Linked DNA regions of Drosophila melanogaster. The protein of the gene in region 2 interacts with the protein of the main gene of each other region in a pairwise test. Each region holds a gene or a part of one and is shown on either strand. Other genes may lie near its edges.

Region 1 (4,092 bases), on a different chromosome or scaffold from region 2:
CCCCCTGCCAAAAAAAAAAAAAATAAATAAATAAAACAACGACAAGTAGGAAAAAAGTTGGCCGCTGGCTGCGCGTCTGGCGGATATAAAAATAAAATAAAATCTATTAGGTGGCGAACCACCCCACATTTATGCGGCAATTTGTTGCTCCTTGATTGTGTCTGTGTGCGACGGGGTGTCCTTTCCGTATGTGCGTGTGTGTGTATGTGTAAAAATAAGTAAAGTAAAGTGTATCATTTTCCCATTTGGCGACCCCTTTTCGCATTTCGCCCCTGTACACAGGCACTTCTCGCACTTTGTCTCAATTCCCAAAACTGTCGCCCCGGCCGTTGCAATTTATGAAGATTTGTGTGTGGCCAGGATGCCAGCGCAGGGTGGGATGCCCAGGATGCAGGACTCTGAATATCACTGGCTCAGAAGCTCAGGGCTCAGCACTCAAGAGTCTTGGCCCACTCCCACTCCCACACGGTTTCGTTTCGACTGCACTTGTTTTGATTTGTTTGGAATAATAACAGATGCTTGCCGTTCATATTATTCATTGTGGAAATTATTAGCGCTTGACAATAAAAATGGCTATTTGAACAGCACTCGAAAGTGAGTGCGCCCCCTTACTCCCCCTCTCACCGACAATCCCCCGCCGCACAACACAAATTGCAATTTGTGCAAATATTTATGTACATTGAAAATTACTCATTTGTGTAACACCAATTAATTTCAACAAACAGCGGCGGGCGCACAACAATGGCCAAGCCATTTATAAAACTTGGCCGCTTGTTGTTGGTCCCTGTTGTCCTTGTTGTCCTTGCTGCCTTGCTGGTCAAACAAATGGGGGAAAATGAGGTCCTTTGTTTCCCCAAAATAAACGATGCCGCTGCTGTTTGAATGTTTGAATGTTTGCTTTGCGGTGCGCCAGCACACGATACACACTGTACAGTGGAGCCCTTCGCCAACAGCCGACAAAGCAGTTCAATCAGCTCGAACAGCTCGCTATTTATGTAATATACTTATGTGTACATATATATATGGTATATATATGGTATGTATGTGAAAAATGCGGGGTTATTGCCTCATTATTGGGACACTGGAAAATACCCTGTTTACACTGCCATTTTTCAAGTTGCGCCAACAAATTGCAGCTAATTAGTGGCCACACTAGCCGGGAAATCCGACGAAATAAGCTCATATACAATATACCAAAACCGGGGTGCACAGCAAATGGCACTCGGCAACTTCAAGTTTTCCACTCAATCAGAGATAATATGAACAAATGGGCGAGGGTCAGACGAGGGTCGGCACACTTTTCCAGGGGTGACCAACTTAAATAATACCTTTCTAGTACTGCAAACGCGGGATGTAAGACAGCTTATAAGGATGGTTAAGGTATCGTTTATTTTAGTTTAAAACCTAGAACATGCGAAGAAAATACAAATAAATGCGTTTATATAATATATATATTTTCTATTGTAAAAGTTTCTGAGAAATCACTATACCATCACATTTCCATGAAACACGAACTGGAACAATGCGATGTAGTCACTGACTTGTCTGTCGTCGATTTGTCATTCGTTTAGTCTTTGAAAAGTATAAAGGTCACCGTTCCGGAATCAAAATTTTTTTTAAAATTTTTAAGATACCGCAAAAGCGCGAATGTAGAGTATTAAAGTGCGTTTTAGTGAACAGCACATGTGTATCCGATCAGATCCTCAATTTTCATTAACTTCCGGAGAAGCGAAATCGAAAAAAAAAAAACACGATCTAAAGACGACTGCTAGTACAGCACGCAGAGGTCAAATGTCTAGATTCTAGAATTTAGATTACAACAGCTGGACTTTGCACACCACTAGAAGGAACTTAGAGAAGGTAGGGTAATCGATTTCAATCGATATAGCTAATCAAGCTGTCAAACCTTTTTCTTTTCACTTTTTCTAGAAGCGAGAATTTGTCCTACATTTTTATTAGGCATTTTGTGAAAGAATCAAAAGAAAAAAAAAGCTGAACGCTAAACAATTCACCGCCACATATCGAGAAGAAGCAATTCCATTCGGTTATGTTCTGGTATTGAGCACCTGGTATTGAGTAAATCGAAAAATTCACAAATCATCACAAAAAGTGCACGTCATCAGGACATACATTTTGCTGCACCCAAGAAGCTAAGTTTGTGACCCAAATAGACCAGCTCCGCCGAGGATCCAGTCCCATTCTCCAGACAGCCGCGATCTCAGGGTGAGTCCCTGACAAGCAGCCCCAACGGCGTCCCAGACGATTGTCCTATCCAGCCCGGACAACGCAGCCGCGGCCCCCAAGACCGAGGCCATGGCGGAGGTTCTCAATTTGGAGAGCATAATTTCCCGTCTGTTGGAGGTGCGTGGCGCACGGCCTGGCAAGAATGTCCAGCTGTCGGAGGGTGAGATACGGGGCCTGTGCCTCAAGTCGCGCGAAATACTGCTGGCACAGCCCATACTCTTAGAGCTGGAGGCGCCGCTCAAGATCTGCGGCGATATCCATGGCCAGTACTATGATCTGTTGCGTCTGTTCGAGTACGGCGGCTATCCGCCGGAGGCTAACTATCTTTTCTTGGGCGATTACGTGGACAGGGGCAAGCAGTCGCTGGAGACCATCTGCCTGCTGTTGGCGTACAAGATCAAGTATTCGGAGAACTTCTTTTTGTTGCGCGGCAATCACGAGTGCGCCAGCATTAATAGAATCTATGGATTCTACGACGAGTGCAAGCGCAGATATACCATCAAGTTGTGGAAGACATTCACGGACTGCTTCAACTGTCTGCCAGTTGTGGCCATTGTGGATGAGAAGATCTTTTGCTGCCACGGCGGACTGAGTCCGGATCTTACCTCGATGGAGCAGATCCGTCGTATTATGCGTCCCACCGATGTTCCCGATCAGGGACTACTCTGTGACCTGCTGTGGTCCGATCCGGACAAGGACACCATTGGGTGGGGCGAGAACGACCGTGGCGTTAGTTTCACCTTTGGCGCCGAAGTTGTGGTCAAGTTCCTCCAAAAGCACGATCTGGATCTGATCTGTCGTGCCCATCAAGTCGTCGAGGATGGTTACGAGTTCTTTGCCAAGCGCCAATTGGTCACTTTGTTTTCCGCCCCCAACTATTGCGGTGAATTCGACAATGCTGGTGCCATGATGTCCGTGGACAATACACTCATGTGCTCCTTCCAAATCCTGAAGCCTGTCGAGAAGCGCAAGAAGTAGAGGACAGCGAGATCTGTAGACGCTTCTAGATTTATTCTTATATATTGTAACACGCGGCACGCGACTCATTCACAATATCCTACACGAAATCGGTTCGAAATCATAATATCCACATACATCTCTAGTCAACCGGATCGAGGGAAATGGCTCAACTACAACGTATACCTCCATGGATCCTAACTGTCTTCAGAGGTATCCACTAGCCAATTCTTGCATATTGTATGATATGTGTAAGTTCACTGAGATTTGAACGCAGAGCTTATGCTTAGCTAATGCAAAATAACGCCATATGCGACTTTTACAAAAATAAACTTACATTTAAAATTTCAAGTGTTTTCATCTAATTGTTGTTTTTTTTCGATTTCCTAATTAATCTTGTCAGCTAGTTTATCCAACTCTTAATTTAAGCACCTTTCCCAAATGTGGAAGCCCTGAAAAGTGTGCTACGAATTCCGGCGGAGTGAAAAGTGGGTGATCCCCCTGAAAAAGAGATTCACCTCCATCTGTTCGTGTTCGGTGACAGAAGTCACCGCCATATTATATTAACAATGCTTAAAAATTAACAAAGCACACGCACACACATGCACACATGCACACGTAAAATGAGTGGGCGATATGGGGGCGTAAGAGAGAGGGAGCGAGCTGGCAGACAGACGACAAACAAAAAAACAGAGACAAAGATACAACAAATTGCGCCAAAAACGCTTTATTATGTCAAAACAAGATGAAAAAAAAAACAATAGAGAAAAGGAACCCAGTGTGGCAACAACAAATTACATTATATATATAATGAGGTCATTAGCGCGTAAACAATCAGAAAAGAAAGTGGGCAATGAAATACAAAGGGTGGGAGCGAGATGGCGGTAGAGC
Region 2 (7,770 bases):
CCATTCCATTGGGCGGCCCGTTCATCATGGGTCCATTGGGTGGGCCGTTCATCATGGGGCCGTTGGGTCCCATCACTGGACCATTGGGTCCCATTACCGGTCCCGGACCTGGTCCATTCATCATCATGGGCGGGTACTGATTGAATCCAGGTGGTGGGCCGCTTCCGAATGGAGACACTGGACTTCCAAACTGATTGCCCATAAAGTTTTGCGGTGGCATGTTGTTCATGTTCATATTGCTCATATCCATTCCGGGGCCACCGGGTCCGTTCATCATGGGCGGTACACCGGGCGGCCCACCTACCGGACCCATTTGGTTCTGCCAGATTTGCGGCGTTCCGTTGGGCACTTGATTTGGCATCATGTTTGGTCCGGGTGGCATTCCCGTGGGAGCAGGCATGCCTCCCATGAACGGATCGAATGGATTTTGCATTAGGTTCGGTCCAGCTCCCAGTCCGGTCAACATATTGTCATTGAAGCCCATGTCCGATCCGCTGATATTTGCTCCGACTCCCGAGCTAGGCGCGTATTTCTTGGGCTCCGGCCACGCCAAGGCACTGTAGTCGTTGACAGCATCCGGATTCCCCGTCAGGTCATCCATGGGTATCACGGGAATGTCATGAGCAAAATGCGGTTCCAGTTCCGCCTCCGCAGGACTGTCGGGAATCATGTCGGGCGAGAAGTACAGGGCTCTTAGAGTGGTGGCCTCCCTGTCCATCTGCACCTGGCGCTGCTTGGAGAGGTTTCCGTTCGGGTGGTCGGGCACATTATCGACTTCGAGTAGTGGCCGCCACTCCATTTGCGGCTCCATGGTATCGTCGAATCCACGCCGAGCAATGGTCAGCGCGTCCCGCTCGCTGAATCGCTCCATGTTCTTCATTTCCAGGAAGGTCTGCTTCATCACATTTACGCGCTCTGAGCGATCGACCTCGAAGTATCGTATCTGGGTGAGCTTTTCCTCTGACTGCCAGGTTAGCTTCTTTTTCGGGCCCTTGCGGCGGTGCAGCGTGAGCACTCCCGGTGGTCCATCGGGTCCACAGCCAGGTCCAGGCTTCTTGGGCTCCTCGGGAAGATCTTCAGCGTTGTCAGAGGTGTTACCCGCTTCTCCGCCTTCTCCGCCTGCCGCAGCCTTCGCCTTCTGCACCTTTTGCTCGATGTCCTCCTTGACCCTCTTAAGGGGAATGTCGTCGTCATCGGCATCCGTGTCCTTGCCAGGTGACGAGGAGCGCGCATCATCGTTTTCCTTGCTGCTGTCGTCCGACTTCTCCTCGCTCTTCGACTCGTCCAGAGTATCCTGGTAGAACTTAAGCGGCGCCAGTGGCGCGTCCTTGTCCGTGGGCGATGTTGCAGACGTACGCTTGCGCTTCACCACCTTTTTGGGTTCGATGGAGGCGGCCAGGGCGTCCGAGAACAGGTTGGTCTCCACCAGGGTTTGAACTGGAAAAATGAGGGTAAAGTAAGTAATCGCTCCAGTAATTGGTTTAGTTAAGAAAATGTTTAAGTGGCCTTCGTTGAATGGCCCATTGGCTTTGGTGGATTTTGCTTTTGCTGGAAATTGCTAGAAGTAAAAAAGTTATGGAAAGAAACAATCTGATCTGGACACACACATTTGTTGTGTTTATGATTGATTGATTAAGTTTACCCACATTTCGATAATTAATGAAATGGGAGTCTCTCTACTGGAATAAGCACCGAATATATACCAAAACCTAGAACTACTAAACAATTCATGAATTTTCCCCAAAAGTTCTTTAAAAGTTTTGGCTTGCTCGACTTTATTCGGTATAATTTCATATATAAATGTCAAAATGTAATTATTCGACTTTTTTTTATTTAACTAGTTTTTCAACACAAATAGTGTTTAATCATCATAATTAAAATAGTTATAAGCTCTCATTGCGATTGAAACTTGAGAAGTACGCTTATTAAAAGTGTATTGCTAAGACTACTAGTTATACGCAATAGTTAAACCTCTTTAAACTTTGATGCTTTTAGTATATTTATGTCAGCACATCGATAAGTGTCATTGGGTTTCCTCAGCACTAATCTACCCAAGGAACCCGACACTGCGATCAGATTACGCGCACCGTGCAGCTTACTGCCAAGGTGACGCATCCGCTGATGACGCACTACGACGAGGATGTGGGTAAACTAGGGTTGCCTGCTCTAGCGAGGCGAACAATTGTGGAGACCCTCGGTGACGCACGACAGCAAAATCGAGGCCAAAGCAAAGCAGCTGGGACTCAAGCCCACGGTGGTGATCGAACCACCTACCAACTTATAGAACCGCCAGCTTAAGTCAATATTTTCGTTTTCGTTTCTTTTGCGCTCAATGCATTTTTTTATTCAATAGAAAAATCGTATTTTTCTAGAGGAAACCGTATTTTATTTGTAAGTCTTTAAGGTGGGCTGCTCGCCAAGTGAATCTACATACCTTATAGCTAAGCTAAGCTAAATACGTTCAAGATTTGAGGTTTGAATACTTAACATCAGGCAGCGACAACGACGACGACGACGGCGGCGGCGGCATCGTCTGTGCCTCAGATTTCGTTTTCGTTCGGTCTCAGCGCATGCGCAGTGCCCAGATTTCGGGATTCAACTCCATTCAACTTCATCCGCCGTCATCCGGAATTGAGGTCATAGACTCACACTCGGGCAGCTTGCAGTTCAAACTCGATCCGGGGATAACACCGCCACGATTGATACATTATAATGCAAAGTACCCACACTAAAAGGCCCCACTTCTGCTCTACAATTTAAGACCCGCCCCAAGCAAAATTAAACACCTTGAGAATGGAATGGAGATCAACAAATAATACGGCGGAGTTCGACATTCGACTCCGATCGAAAACAAAAGCAAAAGCCACCAAAGTTCTTGGGCTGTGGAATAAAATAGAGAAGAGCATTAATAGTGATTCTAGCATCTGTTGCTTACTCTTTTTGGGCGCTATCAGCTTGGCGGCTCCGGGCCTCTCCACATGTCCCGCGACGTTGTTGATGTCGATCTTGGCCTTCTTGTCGGTGGACAAATCCCTGGGTGGCGGCGATGGTCGCTTCAGTGAAGACGGGACTGCCATTAAAGCGGGTGAAGCGGCAACCGCCGACGATGTGGGCTTCTTTAGGCCCTTGCGAGATGGGGGAGGCGGAGCCTCTTCCGTCAGGCCATGCGATCTGAATTTGGACTGGTACGTCTTTACAGTGGCCGTCTTTTCGGTGTCCCGGCGAATTTCTATCGAAATGGAGGCCTTGCGGGACATGATAGGAATCGATCTGGGCTTCTGTGCGTCGCTCTCCTTTGCCGAAGCTGTAGGAGATGTACCTGCAGCATTTGATGCTGCCACAGCTGGCGGAGGCATTAGCTTGTTGTCCTTGTCCTTGTCCTGCCTCGAGGATGAGGATGATGACGAAGTTGACGACGACGACTTGCGATCTTTGGACGAACTAGAACCAGAGCTGCTCGACGACGACGACGACGACGACGAGGAGGACTTTGAGGACTTGTGTTTATTCGAGGAAGAAGAAGACGAACCGCTGCTGCGCTCCCGGTCCTTGCTCGAGCTGGAGGAGCCGGAACTTGAGCGAGCCTTGTCTTTATCGCGGTATTTATCGCTAGAACTGCGATGGGAAGAGGAAGAAGATGAGGAGCTCTTGGAAGAACTGCTCTTCGAAGAGGAGGATGACGAGGAAGAGGACGACTTATGGCTAGATGAGGAGGACCTATGACTTGAACTTTCCTTCTTTCTATCCTTCTCGCGCTCCTTCTCGGACCGTTTACTTTTGTCGCTCTTTGAGCTCTTATGCTTCTTATTATCCACGTCCTCCCCAGACTTAACCTCCGCCGCGGAGCTACTATCATCTAACCCGGACTTTTTCCCCAGACTAGCATCTGCTAATAAGTGGGTTGCGGAGGAGCCCTTTTCCAGATGTTCCACCTCGTTGTCTTTCGATTGTGTGCCAGAATCCGTTTCGTCGCCACCATCTGGGTTGTCCAACAAAGGCTTCCACTTGATGGTAATGCTGTTGGAATTGCTACTGTTGGCCGCCGAGGTGATGGTATACGTCACAGGTGCTCCGGCGCTATCAGTGCTGTCTGAAGAAGAGGCAGAGTCCGGAACTGAAGCGGAGCCAGCTCCAGAAACGGATGCAGGAACCTGAGAGGCAGTAGTGGCTGCAATATGTGGCGCAGCACCTTGGATCGTCATGCTTGTGTTTTCCGTCACAATCTTCAGCCACTGCTCTACCAAACGCTTGGCTAGAATGCGTACACCTGGAAAACGGGGTCGAGAAAAGCCAATTAGTAATCCCTAGGTAATTAAAAGCATAAAGGACAGCCCAAAACATGACCCAAAAACACTAATCTACGACTAGAGTAAGACTTATCAAAGAAAACTTACCTTCGTTGCCGCCATCCTTGCACAGCCCCTTGACCAGAATAGGTGCTGAGTTTATCTTGAGGCGATTGACATCCACGGGAGAAAGGAGCAGCAGTTCCAGGATCTCCTGTACCAGCGGCCAGTTCATGGCCCTGATGGCATCATTTAACCAGGTGTAGACCAGCGACCAACCGCCCACCGCCATAAAGTCGCCCAATAGTTCCGTCTTTGTGGATTTCAGAATTTGTACATACACACATTTCGAGACGAGTTTTTTTGAATACTTGGCCATCAAACTGTGGGCGAAAAACTTGATATTAGCAAACGCCGATAGGTGTCGCTGCTGACAAGTGGTGAACTTACCCCGAAATGCGTTTCACCTCCACTGCACTTAAAATTCCACCATTATTGTCCAAAAGCACCCGCAGGCACCTCAGCAATTGCAGTGGAACTATACGAGGCTGTCGAATAAAAACATTAAATAAAGCACAACTGTTGTTGCATTTCCTAGCCAATATAACTCACCATTTTCTTTGTTAGTCGTGCGAAAGAAGAAAATTTATCTGGCAACGCTAACTCCCTATAGCCGTCTCTCTTCCACACTTGTAGGTGTGACCATACGCAACGTGTGCGCGTGTGTTGGATCGTGCGTGTGTGCACCGACACTCGCTTTTGTTGGTATGGGTGTCTTAATAGATACTAAATTTCCACTGATTACGTAATTCCATAAGAATTCGCTTTTTCAAGGACTGCAATAGTATCTAAAATAGGAGAAAACACCAGTCTGAGAACAAATTTAGCAGGATAAAATTTTGCTATATCCCTACAATTCACTTTTAAGACGAGTATTAAATAAATTCCAGCAGCAGCGCCAAAATATGATAAATGCTGTTATTTTATTGTCTCAACTGGCAGTAAACCAATAATCCCTCCGCTTGAATGTTTTGTTTTTTGTTTTGGAGCTGCAGAAAACGTGTTTTACGCGTTGCGATTTTTTCAGGCACTGATGAAATTCGGACGTGTGCTCGCGGCTATCGGTAATCGATAAGCCAGTGCAGCCCTGAAGGCTGTCCACTCTCAGAAAACCGAAAATTATATATTACGACGTATTGGTATTGATACGAAAACATGCGTTCGTCTGAACGTTTGTAGCACAAATGTCTCTCTACCTCGTTTTTGGTTACAACCCAAATTTGACTTTAGGTACAAGCAAAATGTGAAAGTTACTTAGTTTTTCTGTTAAAGCAGGTTGGCAGCGCCTTGCCACGCACACAACAATGACGCCATTTTGATTTTCACAATTTTTCACAAAGGCGTAATTAAATCCGCAGCCAAGGGAAATGCTAGAAAATTGTCTTTTAATAGCAACTTCAACAATATCGGCCACTTTATATTGATTTTTCTTTGTTTAATCCTAATTATCGGCTTTCGTTCACGTCCACGCCCCAAAATTGGACATGCGGTTAGGTCCGCACACTTAGGTCGAGCAAATCGGTAATAAGCCTTCCAGAAAATATATATTAAATGTACAATTGTTTATCGGCCTTACAATTTGTTAAATATTTAATTGGCGACGATTTTTCTATCTCTCCGAAAACTCCTGCGTGCGCTTTGCTTAGGCTCACAAAATCGTGTGACCTTTCCTTGCTTGAAAATAAAAGTTTGTTTAGAAAATACCAAAACGCATAGTCGGAATATGGTAATCTAATTAATACCCCTATTTTGAAAGTACAAACAATAATTATTTACTTAAAAACACTTTTAATATAAATGGATTTAGTTTCCCGTTAACAGTTTCAAAAACTATCCACGGTGGATAATAGCGAATGCTATAAAAAGAAATTTATTGAATTAAGATTTTAATTCATCTTAATTATTCTAACACATATAATGGCATAAGTTATAGATACCCTGAGCTCTTTTTCAATTAAATAAAATTTGTGAAGGTGTCAGGGCTAAATCATGTATTGTTTGACTTATTTCTTATATTTTAGATATTCAGAATTGCATATTTTATTAGTATTGATGTACCCAATATCCTTAATATTTGAGTTACATTGGAATCGCAATTTTGTTAAGGCATTTATCTGGCACACGATCAAATATAATTGTATTTGAATATATATTTTAAAACATTCTCAATCGAAAAATTTATTTTATAATCAAGATAAAAATAAACCTTTAAATAGGTAATCTATCAATAATATTAACCAACCAGTTTTCCCTGATATGGTCACACGCATTTACCGCTGATCTGGCAGCCTGGCCAAAACAAGCGTGCAAGAATCTTACCTGTAGAATTAGCTTCTGAAAACTCGAGTAACGATGAGCGAAAGTGAAGCGGAGGAGACCAAAATCAGCACCGAGCCGGTGGACAATGCGTGGTCCATGAAGATCCCTGCCTTCAGGCAGGAGGACAACCCGCATGGGATGGTGGAGGAGAGCTCCTTCGCCACGCTGTTTCCCAAATATCGGGAGCGCTATCTTAAGGAGGTTTGGCCTCTGGTGGAGCAGTGCTTGGCGGAGCACCACCTGAAGGCGGAGCTAGATTTGATGGAGGGGAGCATGGTGGTGAAGACCAGTCGCAAGACCTGGGATCCCTACATCATCATCAAGGCGCGGGATATGATCAAGCTGATGGCCAGAAGTGTTCCCTTCGAGCAGGCCAAGCGGGTCCTGCAGGACGACATTGGGTGTGACATCATCAAAATCGGAAACCTTGTGCACAAGAAGGAGAAGTTCGTGAAGCGGCGACAGCGTTTGATCGGACCTAACGGCGCCACCCTTAAGTCCATTGAACTGCTCACCGATTGCTACGTTTTGGTTCAAGGAAACACAGTCTCCGCCTTGGGTCCTTACAAGGGCCTTCAGCAGGTGCGGGATATAGTCCTGGAGACCATGAACAATGTGCACCCCATATACAACATTAAGGCTCTGATGATCAAGCGGGAGCTGATGAAGGATCCGCGTCTGGCCAACGAGGACTGGTCCCGATTCCTGCCCAAGTTCAAGAACAAAAACATTAGCAAACGCAAGCAGCCGAAGGTCAAGAAGCAAAAGAAGGAGTACACCCCATTCCCGCCCAGCCAGCCGGAGAGCAAGGTGGACAAGCAGCTGGCCAGCGGAGAGTACTTCCTCAACCAGGAGCAGAAGCAAGCGAAGCGCAACCAGGAGCGCACCGAAAAGCAGAAGGAGGCGGCCAAGCGCCAGGACGAACGCCGAAACAAGGACTTTGTCCCGCCCACGGAGGAGTCAGCTGCTTCAAGTCGGAAGAAGGAGGATGGCTCCTCCTCCAGCAAGGTGGACGTGAAGGCCCTGAAGGCCAAGCTGATCAAGGCCAACAAGAAGGCGAGGAGCAGCTGATAGTTTTCCTAGTTTTAATTAGTAGTAGGACCTA
Region 3 (4,830 bases), on a different chromosome or scaffold from region 2:
CCACCAGCACGACAAGTACGAGCGCCTGCAGCAGGATCTGCAGCTGGCCAACGAGGAGATCCAGCGTCTGCGCGCCATCATCAACGGCATCAATCCCGACGTGCTCCAGGGTCATCAGCCAGTGGCTTCAAGTGAAGTAGTGGTCGCAACGGAGGCGCCACAGACCGTGGCCGAGTCCACTGAGGCGGCGGAGCAGCAGCAGCAGCAGCAGCAGCAGGAGAACGGCGAGACTGAGCTGGAGAAACCTAACGAAAGTTCGGCGGACGTTGCGGAGATAACTGCCGCTGTGGAGGCCTGCCAGATTGAGGGGAACTCGGTGGTGACCACCGATGAAGCCGCACAGCCAAGCCCAACCGTCCAAGCTGAAGCCAGTGGCTCCAGTGAGTAGATCTCAGATGACAGCAGCACGTGCCAGCACACACCAAACGTAAAAACAAAAACATCCCATTTAGAACGCATTCATTTAGAAGAAATGTTAAGTATTTTCCGGAATTTACATGTAAATAAAGCGAAATAAAGCATGAGCGCATGCAGCGTATTATGGATTTTTCAAATGTGTTTATTGAAATCAGTTTCATAATTCATACACGTTTTATATCATTTGTTTATTAATACAAAGGATTATTGATAATACATATTAATAATAGTTAATTTTTAAAAAACACATCCTTAAAATGACGGGAAGCGGACGTTTGAATAGCTGATGAATGGTAAGGAGTTTTAGGGACAAACTAATATATTTCGCTGATTTTCTTGCAGATATTTCTCTGGCTGGCTGGCTGGCTGGTCCATTCGGTCGGACTGCATTGTGGACGAACAAAAAAAAAACTGATTCAAGGTCGAAACTTAGTGCTTATAATTCCTCTTTATACTTCTTGGCAAGCATTCGCCTCCACCTCCTCGGTTCAACGATTTCCCCTCTTCGATTTTTTGTTTCTTGTTTTGTTTTCACTTGCTCTATACTCTTAAGGCCAACGAGCACTACAGGGCCCCCACATCTGTATGCTTTGTGACCGACTGGCGTCCAGTCGCTCCTCTGCTGCTCCGTTTCCATCTAATCTGCATGGTTATGCGCTTGGTGCTCTGCTCGAACGGTCAGTTGATTAACCTAGTGTTTAAATTTTGGACAAAACCTATAAAAGCGCTGGTGTTCAAATGTGTGTACATGTGTGTGCGTGGGTGAATGGTTGGTCGGTCGGTAGATATACATATATATATATATATACGGGGGCTATTACAAATAAATATGTGGCTTTTAATCATGGTATTTGTCAATGTGTTTGTAATTGCGATTTAAATCTCAATGGGTGTGGGGTGGAAGGGGAAAACTGCAGTCATCTGCTGGAAGGGATGTCTCTGGGGATGTCCTTTGATCGTGGCGCTGCTATTCCATACCAAATTAATGGTGCAATTTCTTGTGGATTTCGACTCGCCCCGGCTGCCGATGATAAAAGTGACCAAAAACAGAGATAAGGTTGGGGTGAGAGTGTGATTCACTAGTTTGTTACTCTGCGTCAGCAGCCCATACTTACGTTTCATGCATCATTTGATGTGTTGTTTCAAAGGATTTTATTTCTGGTTGATTGTGTGGTTGGGTTTGTGGTTGTTTTTGTCGTGTTTATCTTTTGTATCTTGTTTGGATTTCTTATTGATCTGTTTTAGATAGAAAAAGACTGCTCGTGGTGCTGCAGTTGTGTGATATTACTTTTTACGCTTGTCGGCTGGCTTGAGGATTTGGAACGAGCACATCAGCGTATCGTCCACGGACATCATGGCGCCGGCATTGTCGAACTCGCCGCAGTAGTTGGGCGCCGAGAACAGGGTGACCAGCATGCGTTTGGCAAAGAACTCGTACCCATCCTCGACGACTTGATGGGCTCGGCAGATGAGATCGAACTCGTGCTTCTGCAAAAACTTGGCCACCACCTCGGCACCGAAGGTGAAGCTAACGCCGCGGTCGTTTTCGCCCCAGCCCATGGTATCCTTATCGGGATCGGACCACAGGAGATCGCACAGCAGTCCCTGGTCGGGCACATCGGTTGGCCGCATAATGCGACGGATCTGCTCCATGGAGGTCAAATCGGGACTGAGACCACCGTGGCAGCAGAAGATCTTCTCGTCGACAATGGCCGCCACTGGCAGGCAGTTGAAGCAGTCCGTGAATGTCTTCCACAACTTGATGCTGTAGCGACGCTTGCATTCGTCGTAGAATCCGTATATGCGATTAATGCTGGCGCATTCGTGGTTGCCGCGCAGCAGGAAGAAATTCTCCGAGTATTTGATCTTGTAGGCGAGCAGCAGGCAGATCGTCTCCAGCGATTGCTTGCCGCGATCGACGTAGTCGCCGAGGAACAGGTAATTCGATTCCGGCGGAAAGCCGCCGTACTCGAACAGACGCAACAGATCGTAGTACTGTCCATGGATGTCGCCGCAGATCTTCAACGGTGCCTCTAGCTCGAGCAGAATGGGCTGCGACAGGAAGATCTCGCGCGACTTCAAGCAAAGTCCCCGGATCTCGCCCTCCGAGAGCTGTACGTTTTTACCTGGCCGTGCCCCACGCACCTCGAGAAGTCGCGATATTATGCTGTCGATATTCATCACGTCGCCCATGTTTGCGTGCGAAAGTGTGGATCTGGTGCACTAGTGCTGCTGTTGGGTGTCGAGGTTACCGCGAACGATCGTTGGTAGCGCCGAAATAGCCTCGAAATCTTTAATTTCCGAAATCTATTTCTGCTAAATACTTTTCACAGCTAACAAGTATGAAAATTTCTTCGTATGCTGTTGCGTGAGTGCGGGCGGGATGGCGAGTGTGCTTCTAGCTGATGTTGCCACACTGCCGGAAGTCGCGGATATGGCCAGATAATAGACGCCATCTTATCTAATCGATAACATGCAAATATAGTGCATAATCGATAACGAAGTTGCTGTAATATTACTCTTATTACATTAAGGACATTTCCAATCCATTGCAAGAGTTCCGCAATAGCTCTACTTTTATATTTTCATTCGAAACGGGTCTTCTCGACCCTATAGTGGCTCGAAACTGCTGTTAGTAATCGATTAAACGCATGGCGTCCAGTTACTCTATTTCAGCGGTGTGGCAGCCTGATCAGGGGGACACTAGCCATCCCGCTTGCACTCAGGCACGCCTGGCATGACTTACTGTGGAAAAGAGATGGGAGACTGATGCATTTGGCGAGGCTATTCGATATACCGGTAACAAGGGGATATTTAAATACATTGGAAATTCAAATAAGCCAATAAGAATATTCGTTTACAGAACATAGGTTAATTCATTTTCCTTATTGGAATAACTTCCACATGAGTTATGATTTAAAATGCCAAATTTCCCTTAAATTCTCACAAAACTAAATAATATATTGATAGATATATTAACAATCACACTATGTAAAAATTTTGTATGAAATGTGCTCATGTCTTGTTATCGATAATTCGATACTCTATGCATTTCCTGCCTACGCCCGCTAATCATTTAATTAACTGTTAAATAGGCGGGTTTCAATTTAATCAAAATGCTGTTAAACGATATCATAAGCGGAAAATTAGTTGATTCCGTCTATATTATAGCGGAAATTGGCCAAAATCACCAAGGTTGTGTGGAAACAGCGAAGAAAATGATATGGGAGGCCAAAAAAGCCGGTTGCCACTGCGTCAAGTTTCAAAAATCGGATTTGCCAGCAAAGTTTACGAGATCCGCTCTAGATCGCGAATATATCAGTGATCACGCCTGGGGAAAAACGTACGGGGAGCACAAGGAGTACCTGGAGTTCTCCAAAGATCAGTATCTCCAGCTGCAGGCCCACTGCAAGGAGTTAAATGTGGACTTTACGGCTTCCGCCATGGATGAGGTTGATATTAATTAATTGTTAACCAATTACTACTACTAACAATTCCTTTTTTCCCTTGTTTCTTGCTTAAATAGTTATTAATGTGTGTATATGCTATTTTAAACAGAGATCGTTGGAGTTCCTTTCTGCTCTAAATGTTCCCTTCATCAAAATTGGTTCCGGAGACGCAAACAACTTTCCGCTTCTCAAAAAGGCCGCCAATTTGAACTTGCCCCTGGTGATCTCCACCGGAATGCAGACTATGCAAACTGTGGAGAGGATTGTGCAAACTATGCGGGAGTCAGGAAAAGAGGACTACGCTCTAATGCACTGCGTTTCATCGTACCCAACTGACCCAAAAGATTGCAGCTTGCAGTTGATATCCGTCTTAAGGACACGCTTTCCCAATGTGGCAATTGGGTACTCGGGTCATGAGCTGGGAGTGATCATTAGCCAGGCCGCCGTCTTGCTGGGAGCACGCATAGTGGAGCGCCACTTTACGCTGGACAAGAGTCAGAAGGGCTCCGATCATCGCTGCTCCCTAGAGCCGCAAGAATTAAAAGCTCTGACTACAGCCATCACCAACTTCAAACTCTCTTCAGTTCCCATGCCTCCACAAGAAATAGTTAAAAAGTTAAATGGAGATGAGGAACTAGAGGCAGCTCTTCAGCACGTTGAGTCTAAAACCATTTTGCCGTGCGAGCTGCCCTGCCGAAATAAACTGGGCAAATCTATTGTGGCAGCTAGGAATCTCAATAAGGGTTACAGGTTGCAATTGGCAGATATGGCCATTAAAGTCAGTGAACCCAGCGGCCTGACAGCGGAGGATTTCTTGGACTTGGTAGGCAAGGAATTGGCAGACAATATTGGTGAGGATGAACCCATACTTGGGAATAGTATAATCAATTGAATCATGGGTTGGGAATTTAAATACACTTGTAAATGAATAGCTTGGTCTGTATTACTCGGCGCCATCGTCGCT

The links.
Region 1: the proteins of PNUTS (region 2) and Pp1-13C interact in a two-hybrid assay, tested with the Drosophila melanogaster proteins (3 studies listed by BioGRID).
Region 3: the proteins of PNUTS (region 2) and Pp1-87B interact in a two-hybrid assay, tested with the Drosophila melanogaster proteins (2 studies listed by BioGRID).

Annotation. Positions count from the first base shown.
Region 1 is NC_004354.4:15,358,559-15,362,650, reverse strand, and holds Pp1-13C (protein phosphatase 1 at 13C), read left to right. Parts: upstream 1-1,589; 5' UTR 1,590-1,860; intron 1,861-1,929; 5' UTR 1,930-2,313; coding exon 2,314-3,222; 3' UTR 3,223-3,550; downstream 3,551-4,092.
Region 2 is NT_033779.5:868,705-876,474, reverse strand, and holds the start of PNUTS (phosphatase 1 nuclear targeting subunit), read right to left. Parts: upstream 6,011-7,770; 5' UTR 5,923-6,010; exon of another isoform or gene 5,135-5,922; 5' UTR 4,902-5,134; coding exon 4,899-4,901; intron 4,835-4,898; coding exon 4,737-4,834; intron 4,670-4,736; coding exon 4,395-4,669; intron 4,268-4,394; coding exon 2,936-4,267; coding exon of another isoform or gene 2,757-2,935; exon of another isoform or gene 2,326-2,756; intron 1,438-2,325; coding exon 1-1,437. Other genes in the region: dbe (dribble), read left to right, coding at 6,699-7,736.
Region 3 is NT_033777.3:12,423,079-12,427,908, forward strand, and holds Pp1-87B (protein phosphatase 1 at 87B), read right to left. Parts: upstream 2,840-4,830; 5' UTR 2,611-2,839; coding exon 1,702-2,610; 3' UTR 1,533-1,701; intron 1,439-1,532; 3' UTR 543-1,438; downstream 1-542. Other genes in the region: CG17202 (uncharacterized protein), read left to right, coding at 1-388; NANS (N-acetylneuraminic acid synthase), read left to right, coding at 3,534-3,869, 3,976-4,758; CG5641 (uncharacterized protein), read right to left, coding at 4,810-4,830. UniProt on the Drosophila melanogaster protein: Is essential for the regulation of mitotic chromosomal segregation as well as regulation of chromatin condensation during interphase.